2 linked regions of the Drosophila melanogaster genome follow. The gene in region 1 interacts genetically with each later gene. Each region holds a gene or a part of one and is shown on either strand. Other genes may lie near its edges.

Region 1 (11,009 bases):
CCAAATCTTTTGTACAGTCACTGGACGCAGTCCCTCAGCTGGTTGACCTCAGAGGAAGCAACTGCCGCCGATCTGGAGCAAGCCTATGCTAAGAGCATCCACGCGCTGAGTGAAGCGTGCGCCCTCGAGATGTGTAAGCTGCACAAAATCGCCGAGCTGTTGCTGGTGAAGCCACATCACAGCACCGCCAACGAAGTGGATGGCGTCGTCAATCTCTGCCAGCAGTTCAATGGACACCTTCAAGGACTTAGCCACCGCTTCGCCGCCGTTCTGAGCGGCAAGTCAGAAACGGAGGAATCAAAAGGCCGGGTCAGCACATTCTTTTCCGAAATGCTATCTGCCGTGCAGTTCATCGAGAAGGCCTACAAGCTATTTACACCCATTCTCCAGATGGGAGCTGTGTAAACGGATTTAAGATTAATTGTTGTACTTTCTACTTTTACTATTGCCTGGTTAGTGTTCTCAACTCACTTGTTTTTCCATATAAATGTACAAAATTATAAATGATTGCGTTGCAAATGCTTGTGATAACATTCCCGAAATTATTGAGAAGTTTTTTCAAAGTGCAACTGAAAGTTCGGTAGCCTGCATTCGTGTTTGGTTGGATTAGAGCCACCTAATAATAGTTGGCTTCAATGTGATGAACTATTTTTAAAACCCGACTCTCGATAGGCGCGGCAATAATTTTCAGGCATTATCTATTCTATGCCCTTTCTATTCGAACTATTCTATAAATCAAACGCAAAACACGAATATCAAATTGTCCATTCTCTAGTTAAGTCCAGCAAAATTTAGTTAGAATCATGGGAGATCGCAACAAGCAGCCGGTTATTCTGCTGAAGGTTCCGTCCTCCGATGATTTCTATGGTTCGGCGTTGCGCAGCCATAACCTGGATCCCATCTTCATTACTCCCTCGCATTTTGTGTTCAAGAATCTGAAGCAATTGCAAGCCAAGTTGCATGAGCCGCACAAATATGCCGGGATTATATTTGCATCCCCGCGCTGTGTCCAAGCTGTAAACGAGGCACTAGGAAAGACACCACTTCCTAGTTGCTGGCGTGCGTTACACAATTATTCCCTAGGCAAGAACACGCACAGCGCCGCCTGGATAACATTCCAGAATCTTCCGACTCTGGGCGATCATGCCGTGAATGCAAACAATCTGTGCGATCTGATCGTGGAGACGTTTGGACCCAAGAGGGATCTGCCACTGCTCATGCCCTGCGGCAATGGCGTGGGTCAGACACTGCGCCTCCGTTTGGTCGCCCAGGGATTCCGGGTGGATGCCTGCGAAGTGTACGAGAGTCGGTCGCATCCGGATTTCGTCAATCAGATGCGGCACGCCCTCAAATTCAAGCGAATGGAAACGATTGTGTTCTTCGGACCCTCCAGTGTCCGCAGCTCCTTGGAGTTCTTTGGGAACTACAACGTTTCGCTTAAGGATCGCAAGCTGATAGCCGTGGGCAGTGGCACCAGGAAGGCAATGGAGGAATCTGGAATTAAGGCGGACGGAGTCGTGAATGCTGCTGACGTCGACCGCCTGATAAATATCATCAAAACATAGTTTAGTATCGATCATTTTACGTTTTGTTTTTACCAGTTTTTACTTTTGGTATGATTTCAAAATCTGTTTGGTGTCCTTTAAAGAAATGAGGACAAAAGTGTGTTATTAATTAAAGTGTTTCAACAAAGTACATGTAATGTTTTTATTACAAAAACTATAATCAAATAGATTGGATCTATTTGAACAAGATACTTCAAGATATGAGTTTTAATTTAACAATTAGATACAAAATGGGATTAAATAACATAAAGTAATCATGTTCTTAAAAATAGCTTGCCAGTTTCAGACAAGTTTTCAAAGAAGTACAGATGTTTAAATGATGATGGATCTGAATGAATTTCTAAGCTCAATATTCTTCCATTTTACTAAAAACAAAGTGTAAGAATTGATAATGTTGTCTGTATGTTCGTTGTACTGCTTAGTTATTTAGAATTCTTCAACATGTCGAACATATCAATATTATTTTGTGGCTTGATGGGCGCACATAATTTGGCACGTTTGCCGCTTAAAGAGTTGCCCACGATCTGTAATAAAAGTTCAATAATTTAATTTCGATTATAGGTGCAATTAACAAATACTCACTGGTATATCATCGCCGCTATCAAAGTCGGAGGAATATGTGGTAATTTTTTGACGACGAGCATTACGCTTTCTGGCAGTGCTTGAAAATTCGTCTGTATTTTCCGGTTGCACCTTAGTAGGAATGCTCTCAGTTCTGGTTGGCCCTTTGGAATCTTTTAGCTGTTTAATTGTGGTCACTGGTTGGTCGATCAGGCAGTTAATTCGATTCATTTTAAATTGTAGCACAGCCATTTCATTCTGTTGGGCAATTTTAAATATATAACATGAAATATAATGAGTCCGATAGACTTACGTTCTTTTCACGCTCAAGTTCAATCAATTCGGTTTCTTTTCTTTTAATTTCAAGCTCCAATTCGGATACCTTTTTCTATATAAAAATAATAAATCATTTTGTAGAAAAAAGGTTAATGAAAAAGAATTTATAAGTCTTACCATTAGGTTATCTTTCTGAGACTGTAATTCCTCGCTAAATTTAACTTTGGCCGTGGATAATTCACTCTCGATTTCCTTCTTTTCAGCCTGAAGATTGATAATAGCGCTCTTTAGCGTATCATGATCACTAATCAAATATTCCAATTTATCCTGTTGAGCCTTAAAAGCTTTATTCCTTTCTTCGAGTTCAGATTTAAGTTTTTGTATTTCAACAGCGTTTCGCTTATTTTCGCTCTCAACTTCAGTGGCCTTCATCTGCATTTGATTAGCAAGCTGCTCCTGTTGCCTTTTGAGTTCTTCTTCAAAATTATGAGTTTTTTCTTGAATTTCATTACCAAGACGCTTTATTAGCTCTTCCTGATTGCTGCGATGGGACACCATTTCTATAAGTTTTTCCTGCAGTTCGGAGACCTGCAGAAGGGTTTCTTTGTGTAGCTTCTCACTGTTGCTTTTTAGCTGAGTAAAATCAACTGAAGCCTTGTTCAAGCTCTCTTTTAACTCTTGAACAACAATCTGTCAAGGAGAATAAATAATCAAGATACAATAAAATATGAATTTAGTATTTTTCAGACCAACCTCGTAGGCATCTGCTTGATCTTTTATTTCCTGGGAGTGCTTCAATTTTGTTTCAGTCAACTCATTGATATAACTTTCGTTGATATCAGCGAGCTCGCTCAATCTCTCCGTCATTTGAGTTAGTTCATCACTTAGGGAAACATGTCTTCTTTCCTTTTCCTCAATAAGAGTCTTAAACGTATTTATCTCATTGCGAACAAGTTCGAGTTCCCTCGTTGCCTGATCAGTCAATCGTTGCTGATCCACGAACTGCAATTCACTGGCTTCTAAATCACGTTGCAGTTTCGACAAAGCTTTGTTGGCCTCTATTGGCAGCTGCTCAATGCGATCTTCAAGCTGGGCGCAGTCAAGCATCTTTGCATTTAAGTCGCTGCTTAATTGTAAAATGTTTGCCTGTGGAGAACATAATGTTATAATCTAATACAAGGAAAGCCAGTGTAACCCACCTCAAACTTTTCCTTTTGTGCAGACACATCTTCAAATTGAAGCTGTAGGTCTTCGTGGAGCTCTTTGAGATCGGTAAGTTCATGTAGAATCATAGATTTGGCCACTTCTGCTTCTTCCAAATCCTTTTTATAATTCTCGCAGGCTCCAGCTAACTCACGATTCGTTTGCTGCATATTATTCAGCTGCAAAGTGAGATACACATGTAGATATATATAAATTTATATCTATATATTTTAAAATATAGTAAACTCACCTCTTGCGCCTGCAGGGCCATCCGGGATTGAGCATCTCGGAGCTCTGAATTTTTCTTCTCAACACATACTTTAATGATTTCCAGCTCCTTGTCGTAATGTTGCTCGCAGTGGGTGTACTTTTTGTTGATTTCCGTGTACTTCTGGATGTTCTCTGCGTTCTTCTCCTGCTGCTCGATAAGATCAGTTTTCAGTTGGGTCAGCTCCAGTTCCATATTTGTCAACCTGAAAGAATAAGCTCACTGCAGGCAGGAACTGTATTGAAGAAGGAAGGTCTTACTTTTCCTTCAAGCTGATATTTTCCGATTTTTTCTTCAGCGAGTCCATGGCGATGGCTCTCATTTTCTTGCTGACCACCAAGTCTTTCTTCTTGAGATTATTTAGCGATTCGTTGTACTGCTTTATGAAGCTATGAATTATTATTCCCGTGTGGGGCGACAGCTTCTGAATATCTGCCCATAATTCTCCCTCGTTTTTGGGAGACTTTTTTAGACTTTTTGTTGAACTGTCTATGGTGGCTGCAAAAGTTTGGTCTTCCTGTGTTTTTTCCACAGCCTGAGAAGTTTGCGCTTCAATTTTTGATTGCTGAACTCTAGGAGCCACTAGCGGAGTTCTTTTTTTGGATGGCTTTTCGTTTGATCTTTCGAAAAGTTGAGTTTTTACATGATCCTTTTTCCAAACAGTTGGAATTTGGCTGTTTTTTTCTTGGGCAACTGTACCTGGTTTTGGGGCTTTCGAGTGAGCTGCATCCACTAACGGTGCTCCCGATCTTTTCTTGGCGCCCGTCATTTTGCCAGCTAAGCAGTTGTATTAGCGCAACTAATTTATAAAAGAAATAAATATATATTGTACATTACAAACGTTTTGTTTAGTTTACCTAAACTTTTACCAAGTGCGTCCTGCGTTGAAAAGCAACGGTAAACATTAGCTAGAGATGAGCTTGATGACCTACAGTATATTGTTGTTCACAAGAGGTGTGTGTACTGTCTAAATACTGACCTCACGGTATTTTCTACTGAACGCCCCTGGTTTTGCGTTGTCGCCCTGGCTACGATAACTATGTTACAATTTAATAATAATTCTATTTTGGTTGTCAACATTCAGTTTTTGCTAGCTCTATTTAGAAATTTGAGTGCTGCAAGGAATCTAAGTGGCATCAGAAATCTGATCACGACTACATAATGGCGGGATCTGGAGTTGCCAAGCAGATATTTGCCCTCGATTTCGAGATCTTTGGACGAGTGCAAGGTATGCAATGCATTTTTCTGATTCGGCTTGTTAAACAGCGTATTAAATTTTGCAGGTGTGTTCTTCCGCAAAGTAAGTACTGGGAGGCCTATATATATATCTGGAAATCAACATTTAACTTATGTACATTTTTGGCTTAGCACACGTCGCATGAGGCTAAAAGATTGGGAGTTAGGGGCTGGTGCATGAATACCCGGGATGGGACCGTCAAGGGACAACTGGAGGCTCCTATGATGAATTTAATGGAAATGTAGGTACCGCTGCACTCCACTAATTCAATCATTTAACCATCGCCCACTAATTTGAAGGAAACATTGGCTGGAGAACAACCGAATTCCCAACGCTAAGGTCTCAAAGGCTGAATTTTCGCAAATCCAGGAAATCGAGGACTATACGTTCACTTCCTTTGACATAAAACATTAAAAACGAATTATTAGCTCTTTCGTTGTCCATCCAATTCCGAAACAAAGTCTAAATAAATTACCAGGGCTGCAACTTGCGTAAGCAGGCATATCTGCATTGCTATCGACTGAGTCGATAACATTCGATAGTATGAACATAAGAAATATTACGTTTCGCAAAACTGAACCCAGTACTGAAGTACAACAATAAATAAATAATAAATTATTTAAAACAAGGCGGAAAATTATTCCGAGAATCGATAGTCGCTAGTCGAAAGTGCGCACCACTCCAGTATCTACTCGATATATTGCTATCACAGCCGATAGTTTGCAGCTCCCTGCCATAGACACTGGTCATCTCGCTCGCACACACAACAGTGGGCCGCGCCACCGCCATAGGCGGCGCACGTGCAAGAGCGAGACAACCAGCTGGGCGACAGCGCACTTTGGTCTGGCACAGAAACGAGTACAGCTTCGATACACGTCGTTTTGCCAAAAGCGTAGCAGAGCAGTCTAAGCGATGAAAAAAATAAATGAGGAAAAAAGTCCGTGAAGCGAAAACCGTAATTCCTACAGTGCGAGTCACGCCATTGTGTTTGCAAAAAATATTTGCCAATTGTGCTACGGGCAATTTTTCGGAACGGCCGAATTGTGCGTATAATGAAAAAAAATACTACTTAATTTTTAAGCAATTTACAAATTCTTGCGTGCTGCCTGCCTGCTGTCGGTGTGTTCTTGCTTGCATGTGTTAGTGAGTACGATTACTTTCGCGCTGAAAACCTTTTTCCACTGCCCTTTCGCTGGAATCTGGGCGAATATAGATAGGACACAAAGCACATATAACTGATTTTTACTGCAGAATTGATCGAGACATGTGGAATACAATAAATGAGATTGTGTAAATAACTGAATATAGTGGCGCATACAGTTGCACGTGTGTGTGTGCTAGCATGTGCGTGTGTGTGTGTAAAGGCGCGAGTTTCCGTTTGCCTAGGCTAATTGTAGTGGAAAAACTCAATAAACGGAATTACATAAAAACATGGTGGCATGATCGGCAGTTTCCCGCCGGCAGAAGATGCCCAATCTTGGAAAATTGTAATTTTCGAAAGTAACCGCAATGATTTCGTCAGTATGTAAAGTAGTCTGTCAGTCCCTGCATATGTTTGTGTGTGTGTGTTCTATACAGTTTTTTTTATTGCGCATCATGGTGTGCAATAGCGCGCTTTCTGACCTCTCTCTCGCTCTCATGGGTTCTCTTGTTGGCCAAAGCGACGCTGTGTGTGTGTTGTGTACGCATATGTAGCATATGTACATAACACGCCGGAAAAGACAAAAAAAAAAAACCATTCCAAATTTTGAAATCTTACGGAGGCGGGCGGTTTAAACGAGATAAAAAATAAATACACCAATATTGTTCTTTTATATGATAACGCAGTAGTCTCGGACCGAATAGTATGCCTTTATTTTGTCGTCCTAACGCTGAATTGCCGAAAAATAATAGCCCGTTTTTGGAAAATTCTCGACAGGATTAGCATAAAGAGACGCCTTAGGAGTCGAACGAACCAAATGCCGCAGCAGCCGGCCAACGTATTAGCATCAGAACGATGGCCCCAGCGCTCACAGCCGAGCCACTAAGTCCAAAGGAGAAGCTAACCAGCACCGCCTCGCCCTCGGCCCGCAGCTCCTCGGAAAGCGGAGGAGTTGGATGTGCAGTTGGCTTGGTCAAGAAGCCGGCAACACCCACGCCGGCCACGGCCACCACGCGGATTACCCGCTCATCAGCGGCAGCGGCCTCAGTTACCGCTTCCCCGCATCTACAACAGCAGCGATCCTCGCTAGCAATCAATAACAAGCGAAAGTCGGGCAACGCTAAAGCCAGCAATGAACCAATGGGGCTGAGCACAGCCCCGACTCCACACAGCACCACTTCACCAAATCCCTCGACGGATACTGCGGCAGCCTCCACCTCTGCCGTGGAGCACAACAATAACGACAGCAACAGTACCTCCGCCGGCAACAGCACCTCCGCCGACAACAGCTCCACGCCCAAGGACAACTCCACCGCTCAGCTACTGGCGGATCTAACCATCAACTTTGAGGAGACCATATCCGCGGAGATTTGCCTGAGGAAAACCCTACCCGATGTGAGTCTGGGGAAAGAGCCGGTTCCGCCTGCCTCGGTGCTGGCAGTGGCCACAAGTTCAACGAGTGCTGGCAGCGCTCTATCCTTATCTGCAGTGGATGAGGTGACCAAGATAGAAATAGATAATATAGAAGGTGGGTCTAAGGAATCACTCCAAATAAATAGTCTTGACTCAAAATTTCTCTCGCCCACTGTTTCAGAGCGTCTCAGCCAGCTAGATGGGAATGCCACTGGAAGGCCCGAGGAGCATGTGGCACCACCTTCTGTTCCGGTACCCGTGCAGGAGGCGCCAAACACGCCCACCAGGCCACAGGCGCCACCAAGTGCCCATCTTGAGTCTCCGCAGCCGGCGCGAACACAGCAGCAGTCCATTCAACAGATGACGCCGCAAAGCACCACCAGTTCCAACAATTTTCTCAAAGACGGAGCAGCTGGTGCTGTTCTAGAGGATCAGGATATCGAGGAGGTGCTTAAAGCGCTCAAAACATTTGACGGTGGCCATGTTAATCCAGATACCATTTGCGAGTTTTTCGACGAAGTTTGGGAAGAGGCAGCACCGGCAGCGCCATTGCCGCCCGCGCCACCCGAAAATGTGGTGGATGTGCCGGGCGCGAAGCCCAGCTGCAGTGGCATCCTCGTTAGCGGCAGCAACATTTCCCAGCCGAATGTGATTATTAAGCAGGAGCAGCGGCCCTGGCAGGAGAGTCATGCTGAGTTGGAGCAGCAGCAGCACGTTATCTCGCGCAGGATCGAGTTTTTGCTACGCAGGATGCGCAAGCTCCAGGCGCGAGCGATGTGCCGTCACGCGAGCGAGGAGGTGGTTGGTATCATGGAGTGGTCTGCCCGCAGTTCCCATAAGGCTCCAGTTCCAGCGAGAAGTTCCACGCTGACTGAGCAGGAGGCCACTGTCCTATCGATTGTCTCAGGGCGTCCGAGCTCAACCTTCTGGGAGGAGCAGAACAAGCATCCGCTGCCTGCTAGCCAGATGAGTAATGTGATCCGGCATATTGCGACGGCGGCAAAGCATCAGCAAATCTGCCACTCAGCCAGCGGAAGCTCTGCTACTCTGGCGCCATCCTCCAGCTGGTACAACAGCTGCAACAGCTCTGCGCTGCCGATGAAGCGTCCACGAAAGAATCAACTTGATGCTTCGGTTGCAACGGGTGCCACACCCACTGCACCTGCGCCAGGAGCGGTAACATCTAGACAGGCAGCTGGCACGACGGGATCCGCAACGGGTTCGAATACACCGCGGGCGGATGATATCGTGCCCGGCTACGACACCTATGTGACTAATGAACTCACCCATGTGTCTGGCCTGCTGCACACGGAGCTTCGAGAAGTACAGAATGCCATCGACTCGGACGCCACGGAGTCAAGTTCTGGTGGAGAATCCGCTGACGAGATGGTAACCTACAACAACAACCAGCAGCTCTCGCTACCAATGTGAGTACTTCGTATTATTTATGTACATACTTAGGTTATCGGGAATATTTTACAAGTAAACTTTCTTCCATCTTTTTTTGAGGGGGGTTTTCAGCTTCTGTCATCTTTTTAAGATCATTCTTTTGCTATAGAATTTGTCCGATTAATGTTGGCTCGGTAGTTTTCTTTCAAAATTGTTTTGCTTTGACAGGCATTTTAAACATGATTTAACGTCGTCCTTAGCAATTGAAAAGTTGTAATAGGCTTTGATTAGAGTTGTTGTACCTAATTATCGCATTTACAATGCGATATTTCAACTATTTCAACAGTTTTTATTAAAATTGTTAATTAGCGATTATATATTTCTTTTAGCTTTTTTTTTGTGGTATTCTCTTTCCTAATGCTCTTGAAATTTGATTCTTTGCAGCACTCGACGCGCTGTCTGGCGATATTCGAGAGATCGTGCAGCCATTGCCCTGCGCTGGTCCTGGCTCTGCTCCCAGCTGACCGATTTGGAGATGAAGATCCGTCAGCACAGCGACCTTTACATGGATCTAACTCAGTCCAAGGGCGAGATCCAGCTGGAGTCCACAGCTAAGACCTCACCGTCGCTAGCACAGCCGGCAAATGGCATTAAGGAGGAGCCCGGATCCGACTACCTCTGCAGTCGGGCACGTCCATTGGTGCTGTCCGAGTTCCGCAAACGCAAGCTCTTCCAGACCACGAACATGCACACGATTTCCAAGAAAGCCGCACGCCCCAGCAACATTAAGTGTGGCTGCCAGTGGCCGCAGGTGCCATGCACACTGTGCACGGGTCGGACAGACCCTACGGCGCCCAGGGATCTGGTCGAGACGATGATGCCGCAAAACCGGGTGGCATTGCTCGATGCTGGCTACCATCCAGTGCTCAGCTTCGCCAGCGGTGAGTGGGAGGTTACACTGAGTGGACCCATTTGGTTTTCGTCCATGATTATTTCTTATCATCTGTGATGGTTTAACATTATTTATTCTACACTTGAGATTTGAACTGAATTGATTAAAAAGTAAAACTTTAAAATGCAATACTTGCAAATAATTTTTATTCGAAACTAAAACATTAAAATCCTCGTATTCTTTACATTGGATTCCAAAATGAAAAGAAATAGTCGGATGATGACAGCTAAAGTGGAATTATGTTTGAATATATTCTTATCCCTATCATTCTTGTTTCCCAGATGTCAGTCAGTCGGTTCACTTGGAGGCCGTTGCCCGCCAGCCGGACTGGCAGTACCGCGTCATGCGCAGCCAGCCCAAGGCCATTGTCAAGGCCATGTGGAAGGCGGAGCGCGAGACGATAGCCTCAGGCGGTGTCGGCGGACAAGGTGGCAGCCGGCGGTCGGGCGATGCGGCGAAGCGGCGTTATATACGACGCAAGGAGCGCAACAACAACTCAAATAAGGAGGCTGGGAGCGGAGCTAAAGCTGCTGCTGTCGCCGCAGGAGGAGCAGGCGGAAACGGAAGCAGTAGCGTCGGGGGAGGGGATAGCGGAAACGGTACTGGTACTGCTACTACTTCTTCTTCTACTACGCCTACTACAACGCCACTTGTGGCCAACAGTAAATTATTGTAAACATGACGAAATTCGATAATTGTTATTAACATAAAACAACAACAATCTTTTGCATCTCTTCTTCTTCTTTTTCTTTGCATCGATCAACCAAAACACGAAATTCCACCAACACCATCAACAAACACCACCACCAACAACAACAACGAAAAACCCCACCAATTGTTTTATTTTGCCATTCCGTTCTTGTCTCCGTTTCGTCCCCGTTCCGCATCCAAATCACGGACTTGACGCAACATCAGCAGCGGCCAGGGGCAAGCGGCAACCACAACACCCAACTGGAGCGAACAGTTCCAGCTCGCTGTGGCCAGACTCTCGCCAACGCCAACGA
Region 2 (7,095 bases), on another chromosome or scaffold:
CCCACATCGAGACCTGCCACCTGCCGCTGCGATGCCGCAAGTGCCAGCGCAACTACACGCGCGTCGATGACCTGCGGGAGTTCAGCAAGTGCGTGGACCAGCAGCAGAGCTGCACTGATGTCACCGGCGCCACGGAGACATCGAAGGCGACGCTAAAGAAGGCAGCGAATAGCACCGCCATTTCAACGCAAACGTCGCCGTCCGTAACGCCCATTTCACTGATCAACATGCGCTGGAAGGCCAAGAGCCGTGTCACCCACGAGGAGTTCATCAGCGACAGCGTCTCCTCCATACGCAACCTGTCGTCGTTCAGCAACAGCTCCATTCGTCGCTCCATTGGCCAACTGGGCGTGAATCCGTCCGAAACGATGGAGAAGGGCAAGGTCATACGCTCGACGTCCACACCACTGCACGTGGAGTCCGTGTTCGCCAAGCCCAAGGAGCCGATTACCTTCAATGCTTCCACTGGCGGCCACGTGTCCAGCATCTACCACGAGGAGCCCAGTCCGACACCCGAAAGCAATCCCGTCCAGCAGCAGCAGCAGCAGCAGCAGCCGTTGCAGCAGCGCGCCTGGAAAATGGGCGCCCGCAACAAGATGAGCGCCGCAACGCCGCTGCGCCAGGTCATGTCCAAGAGCATTCAGAAGGCCTTCGTCGAGCACGGCGGCATGATGGTCCACCAGCCACCATCCGCAGTGGTGCAACGTCGCGTGCGCCTCGATCTCAGCGAGCACAGTTCGCACGAGGCAGCAGGCTCGTCCGCTCTGGACCTGCGACTCTCGCCAGCTATGCGGCGCACCCAGAGCGAGTCCAGCGCCTCGGAGGTCAACAGCGGCAGCAGCTCCAGCTACAGCACCTCGCGGAATGCCGATCTATGCAAGCGGCAGTTCTTGCTGTCCGCACAGAAACTCACCACCGAGTCGATCATCATCACGCGGACGAACTCCAGCTCACAGAAGACCTCTTCCACGGTGTACAACTCATGCGAGAGCGTCGAGATCATACGCTCCACCTCGGAATCAGCGGAAGTGTGCCACGTGCCGGCCATAACGCCCATCCGTGTCACCGGTGCCGGCATCAACAAGAAGCAGATCAAGTTCGAGACGCCGCCCAAGAGCAGCCAACAGATGCGATCGAATGGCGAGGGCGATGAAACCAAGGACCAGTTTTTCACGCCGGAACCGGGAACGCCGGAAATTCCAGAGCGTCGTCATCGCCAGGCGATTGTGCCGCGCCAGCTGAGCGGCGAGTTTTCGCCCAAGAAGGATAAGCCGAAGGAGAAGGGGCTGGCGGTGATGGCCCTGATCTCGCCGCCATTGCAGCAACCCAGGGTGCGTCCTCCGTTGCGGGAATGCCGTCAGCAGAGGGTCTATAGCGGCGTGCAGGATGTGGGCGAGCCGGAGGTCGTGGACGCAGAAGAGGAGGACGAGGTGTTCCGCCCCACAAACGCCTCCACGTGCAACGACAAAAAGCTGGAGGCGCCCAACTCCGGTCGCCTGTGGTCGCTGATGAGTTCCATGATGCGACTGCCGGCCAGCTTGCGCGGCGAACGCGAAAAGGACAGGGACAGGGACAGGGATTCGGATAAGGAGAACGCTGGTTCGGGCTCACTCATCCGTCGCTGCGCCTCCATCGCTGGATCCCTGGTGCGCCCCAGTGCAAGGGACTCCTCCATGGAGGACCAGCAGTGCCTCAAGAGAAAGCGCACTCAGACGCTGGACAGCCAGTACTGTAGCCCGCTGTCGCCGTCCAGCTCCTCGAAGCGCTACCGCATCCGGCCCAGGGAGCCCATCGAGCGCATGCGTCGCCAGTAGGTTTTAAGCTTTTGCCTGCGAATCTGTGTTTTAATTGTGAAATTCTTCTTTTTTTTTATCGTTTAATAAATGTTTGGTCTTGCATTAACCGTTATGCGCAGCAGGAGTTGGCAGGTCCAGGAGCTTAGCTCGTCTCATTCAGAGCTGCCAACTCTATCTATTGATTCTGTTATTAATTAGTTGCGCACAAGATCGAAAAGCTTAACGGAGCGCCCATGGCGAAATCACAAGCAGGTCAGACTGTCGAGCCGGAGGCGTCCAAGCTGTGGATCCACTGCAACAGCTGCTGCGCCCTGTTCTGCGATAAGAAGCACACCTTCTTCCTGCTCGCCTGCCATCACGTGTTCTGCGAGCGGTGCGTCAAGGTCTCCGCCGGCCGCACGCCCAGCGACGCGCCCATATTCGAATGCTCCACCTGTCGGCGGAGCGTGCGCGGCCGCCAGTTGACCAACTCGATGCCCAACCACTTCAAGCAGCTCTTCCATCCGGAGCCCTTCACCATCGGCAACGACTTTGTGGAGACGTTCCAGCGCGGCAATCATCGGCACTTCGACAAGTACAAGGAGAGGAAGGAACTGGAGATGGATAAGCTGTTCAAGGACATCGAGGTGGCCAAGTCCGTGTGCCAGAAACGCTTCCTGGAGGCGCAGATGCTGCGCGTGGAGCGCAAGAAGCTGATGCAGAGGTCGCGCTACATTAAGGCGGAAGTCGCCAATCGGAAGGCGGAAATGCATCGGTGCGACATTTGGATTCCATTGAAAATAGTTCCCATTAATGCATTATATTTCTACCCGCCTTAGGATGGCCCAGGCCTACCGAAGCCGCTCGCTGACTTCGCAATCCTCGTCATCCGCCCAACGCTCGGCGCGCGGACGTCCTCGTGGCCGTGGAACAGCCACACAGTCCTCCAGTCGACGCCGATCAACGGAATCAGCAAAGCGGCAGCAAATCACCAGCTTCATACACCCGCCGAACAACTCGTTCGATCTGTGAGCTAGTGCTGATAGGTAAAGCTCTGTTTTACAACCGAGTATATATTTTTTGTAAATAATCAGCTTAAAACAATAAAATGGTGTCATAAGCTTTAAAATAATAAACTGCTAAGTTAACAGCGACCGTTAAGTTTCAATTAACAGTTTCGTTAGGATAACAGAAGTGTTGAAAGTGAATTCGATTAATCGAAATCCATCGATGACTGCTGCACCGATAATATCGCATAAGCATCTGCTCTAAAAACGCATAAAAATTGAATTGCAAGAAGTAGAAGAGCGAAACGTCATAAAAGCGGCAAATCCGGCGCTGTCCGACAAGAACCACAGGGGAAAGCGGATAAGGACATCATGATGAATAGCAAGATCGCCGAGGTAGTGGTGCTCAACTGCCGGACGTGCACGCGTGCCTGCAAGCTGCACAAGCCGCTGCAGGAGGAGATCGATCTGGGTTCGGAGGGCAGCACCACGCTGGCCAGCATGCTAAACTACTGCACGGGACTCTCGTTCGAGCCGCAAGACGGCGCCGCCATGCCGCAGCACATCTGCCTCCACTGCCTGCAGCTGCTGGAACAGGCGTTCAACTTCAAGCGCATGGTCATCGATTCGGACGAGCTGCTCCGCCTGGGCCTGGACGAGGCGCGCTGCTCCAGCTTTCACGAGAGTCAGACTCATAGCCCCAACCAGAGCCAGCAGCACGACCAGCAACAGCAGGCGTTCGACTCCACCGAGGAGTACGTCATGATCGAGATGCTCAACGAGGAGCAGGAGAACGTCGCCAATGTAAGTATCTATCACTTCACGGTGCAATGGAATGCAATGGTTCTTGTCCACTCCCATAGAGGATTAACGATTGCTCACAGCGGGCACCAGTCACTCAAATCGATTCACTTATATTGTGGCTCTTTGGGATGTAGTAGGGTAGGTCGGTGCCAAAGGAGTGCAACCTGTACCTCCATACAATGGATAACTTGTCTGCTCTTGGTGACACTACGTCTAAATAGGAGATGGGCTTCATCAAGTCTAACTCCAAAGTAAAACCATAACACCTTCTTCATCCGCAGTTGGATGAAGAACTAGCAGAGGAGGATCGTCGCATCTTCGCGATGACCGTGGATGAGGAGGAGGAGTTTCTCACCGAGGAGGTGGATCAGGATGACGAGCTGTCGGAGGAGGAGCACCAGCTGGCACAGTCGGGCGACCAGCAGGAGGAACACATCACTATGGAGAGCGTGCATGAGTTTCAGCCCGCCGAAGTGGAGTATGTGACCATTAAGAATGAGTTCGAAACGATCGTCACGGAGGAGGATGAGTTCGAGGTGATGAACGACTCCGGCGCCCACGACGCCATACTGGACTGTCAGATGATTGTGATACCCGCCGAGGGAGCCATTGACGAGGTCATCGGCGAGGAGACCCTCGAATTGGAGGGGGATGGGCGCGAGGAGCATCTGGTGAGAAAGGTCAAATTATATTGCACTAGAATACCATTTATCCTCCATTCACCTACACACAGCTGCCGGAGGCGGAGGATGTCTGCGAAGATGAGGACTTCCTGGAGGAGTCGCTGGACTCAGCGCCGCCGACCGCTGGCGAGGCGCTGCCGTACGTGTGCACCGTGTGCCAGAAGGCGTTCCGCCAGCAGTGCCGTCTCAACCAGCACATGCGCTCCCACGTGGACGAGAAGCAATACGAGTGCGAGGAGTGTGGCAAGCGTCTGAAGCACCTACGCAACTACAAGGAACACATGCTGACACACACAAATGTCAAGCCGCACCAGTGCAGCATATGCGGCCGCTTCTATCGTACCACCTCCAGTCTGGCAGTGCACAAGAGAACTCATGCGGAGAAGAAACCCTACAACTGCGATCAGTGCGGCCGCGGATATGCGGCGTTCGATCATCTGCGGCGCCACAAGCTCACGCACACGGGCGAGCGACCATACGCCTGCGATCTGTGCGACAAGGCCTACTACGATTCGTCCTCGCTGCGCCAGCACAAGATAAGCCACACCGGCAAGAAGGCTTTCACCTGCGAGATCTGCGGCGTGGGACTGTCTCAGAAGTCGGGCTACAAGAAGCACATGATGGTCCACAGTGGCGTCAAGGCGCACAAGTGTGATGTTTGCGGGCATGCCTTCACCTTTACCAGCAACCTCAATGCCCATGTTCGCCTCCATTCCGGCGAAAAGCCGTTTAAGTGCGAGGTCTGCGTTAAGGCCTTTCCCACAAAGAAGCGACTGGCCAGTCATATGCGCGTCCACAACAAGGAGTCGCCGGTGACGGCCACCGTTGCTGTTCAGTCCATCAATCCTCCCAGCCGACAAGCGGGCGCAGAAGGTGCGACAGGCGGAGGTGCGACAGGTGGAAGTCCGACCGGTGGAGGTGCGACCGGTGGATCGGCAACCAACCTTCACATAACCGAAGTTCATGAGCAGCCGGTGTCCACCTCCAAAGTGGTGATGGTGCTGTGAGCGGCCACCAAGCCGTGGGAGCGGCTCTAGAATGTAAGCCTAGGCTAAGGATTAGACACTTAGTTCAATAAAACTGATTTTTGTTCCAGAAAAAACTGAAAGAAAATTCGACACTTATTTTTTACATACATAAAAATAATTTTGTTTTCACGATAACTATCTCAGCAGGTTTAGCCACTCTTATCCATCAATTGTGATTAGATAACGCACAGCAAGTTCTCCACTTTCGTAACGAAACACATGGATGTCTTGTTTTTGGTTTTACGGTTAAGTCGTCTCTTTATAATAATAATATTACGATTAAATTGCCAAAAAACAAAAACAAGCAAGTTTAGTTATTCAATAAAACAAAAACATGCGCCTCGTCTTTTCCCAAAGGAGCAAAAGACAGAGCGTGCCTCCCAATCCTGCTGTCTGCTGTCTGCTACTGCTTCCCACTAACTACTCCAAAAGTCGACGAAAAATATGGCCAGTGTGCTGCTGCAGGGCGTGTTTGTTGCTCCGGCGCAGGCGGAAGGTTAAGGTATGCGTATGGAACGGGTTGTGCGGTATGGCCAGCCTCCTAGCGGCCGAGAATGTTGCGCGACCACTGTTTGACCATTGGCTTGGTCTTGGACTGCTCGATGCGTTCCGCCTCCAGCATTTGTTCGGCCAGCTTGCGCTGGTTCTCCCGGAACTGGTTGATGGGATCGTCGAACTGGCGATAGTAGTGGAGCACCTCGCGCACGTCGTCCACGTTGTTCTGCGCAATTACTGTAGCGAATTGCAAGGGTCAGTGTTTAGCTTTCAATGTCACTTGTGGCGCAACTTACTCTTTAGGAAAGCGATAAGGTCCAGCAGTTGGCCATCATCGTCGTTGCCATGCCAGCGGGCCAAGCCGAATGTGTTGTCCGGATGCATCTTGGTGGCATTCGCATCCCAGTCCACAACAATCACCTAAAATACTCCCTTCTTTATAGATGATTGCAATAGAAAATACGTTGTGCATGACTTGCCTTCTTGAGGTCGCGATTAAGGTTGTCCAGGTTCTTCACATGATGGCCGTCCACAAAGTGCGTGGCATCCCTGACCAGGCGGTACATAATGTAGCCGTTGGGATCGAGGGCATCCAGGATGGGGAACACGGTCATGCCCTGTTCGGCGGTGAAGACGACAATTTCAAAGTCCTTGGCGCACTCGGCCAGAAAGTGGTCGACGCCGGGACGCTTCTTGAAGCGCCAGCCAGTTTGGTAAGTCCAGTCCGGATGCACCAGCACGTCCTTCATCTCCAGCACAAGCGTGTAGCGCGGCTGCACGTACGGCGGCTTGAGCGGATCGGGCAGCAGTTTGGCGCGCGACGGCTCCTGGATCATGCGCTGATAGTAGTGAATGCTCTTCCACATCCGCTGCAGATACTGCTGTACCAGCGGCTTGTGTGTGAACTCGTCCTCGATGGGCTGCCCGTTGGGGTCCACCTCGGGCTTGCCGAACTCGTAGACGGCCCAGAATCCAGCAGCCACGGCGCTGCCTCCGAATATTGCAAAGCTGCAGCAGGAAGTATTGTTATAATACTGTTACGCATTGAATGGGCGTCAGCTTACCCCAGCTTCATGCGCTTCCAGGCACGCTCGTTCTCCTTTTCCTCCTCCTCCTCGCGCTTCTTGCGCTCCTGCTCGGCGTTGCTGTCCACCTCCGGCGAGGTCTGAGGAAAGAGCTTGGCCAGCAGCGGGGCATTCGGTGCGACCTCGGGCGCATCATTGGGGCCAGTGGCTCCAGCTTCCTGCTCTGCGAAACGAAAGTGGCCAAGGATGAATGTTTAGGACTCTACTGTTTAGGACTC

The links.
Region 2: of c(3)G (region 1) and vilya, changing one enhances a phenotype caused by changing the other (phenotypic enhancement), as found in Drosophila melanogaster (one study listed by BioGRID).

Annotation. Positions count from the first base shown.
Region 1 is NT_033777.3:15,787,801-15,798,809, forward strand, and holds c(3)G (crossover suppressor on 3 of gowen), read right to left. Parts: upstream 4,780-11,009; 5' UTR 4,731-4,779; intron 4,673-4,730; 5' UTR 4,643-4,672; coding exon 4,134-4,642; intron 4,079-4,133; coding exon 3,856-4,078; intron 3,785-3,855; coding exon 3,602-3,784; intron 3,549-3,601; coding exon 3,156-3,548; intron 3,093-3,155; coding exon 2,580-3,092; intron 2,515-2,579; coding exon 2,440-2,514; intron 2,385-2,439; coding exon 2,148-2,384; intron 2,090-2,147; coding exon 1,988-2,089; 3' UTR 1,673-1,987; downstream 1-1,672. Other genes in the region: CG9590 (uncharacterized protein), read left to right, coding at 18-405; Uros2 (uroporphyrinogen III synthase 2), read left to right, coding at 804-1,565; Acyp2 (acylphosphatase 2), read left to right, coding at 5,035-5,101, 5,157-5,173, 5,242-5,351, 5,410-5,524; nsl1 (non-specific lethal 1), read left to right, coding at 7,107-7,779, 7,846-9,091, 9,498-9,994, 10,287-10,667, 10,921-11,009.
Region 2 is NC_004354.4:2,724,678-2,731,772, forward strand, and holds vilya (vilya), read left to right. Parts: upstream 1-2,000; 5' UTR 2,001-2,029; coding exon 2,030-2,550; intron 2,551-2,614; coding exon 2,615-2,807; 3' UTR 2,808-2,891; downstream 2,892-7,095. Other genes in the region: fs(1)Ya (female sterile (1) young arrest), read left to right, coding at 1-1,814; dwg (deformed wings), read left to right, coding at 3,155-3,586, 3,868-4,257, 4,320-5,276; ttm50 (tiny tim 50), read right to left, coding at 5,839-6,029, 6,089-6,212, 6,272-6,800, 6,857-7,040. UniProt on the Drosophila melanogaster protein: Required for the formation of DNA double-strand breaks during meiosis together with narya and nenya.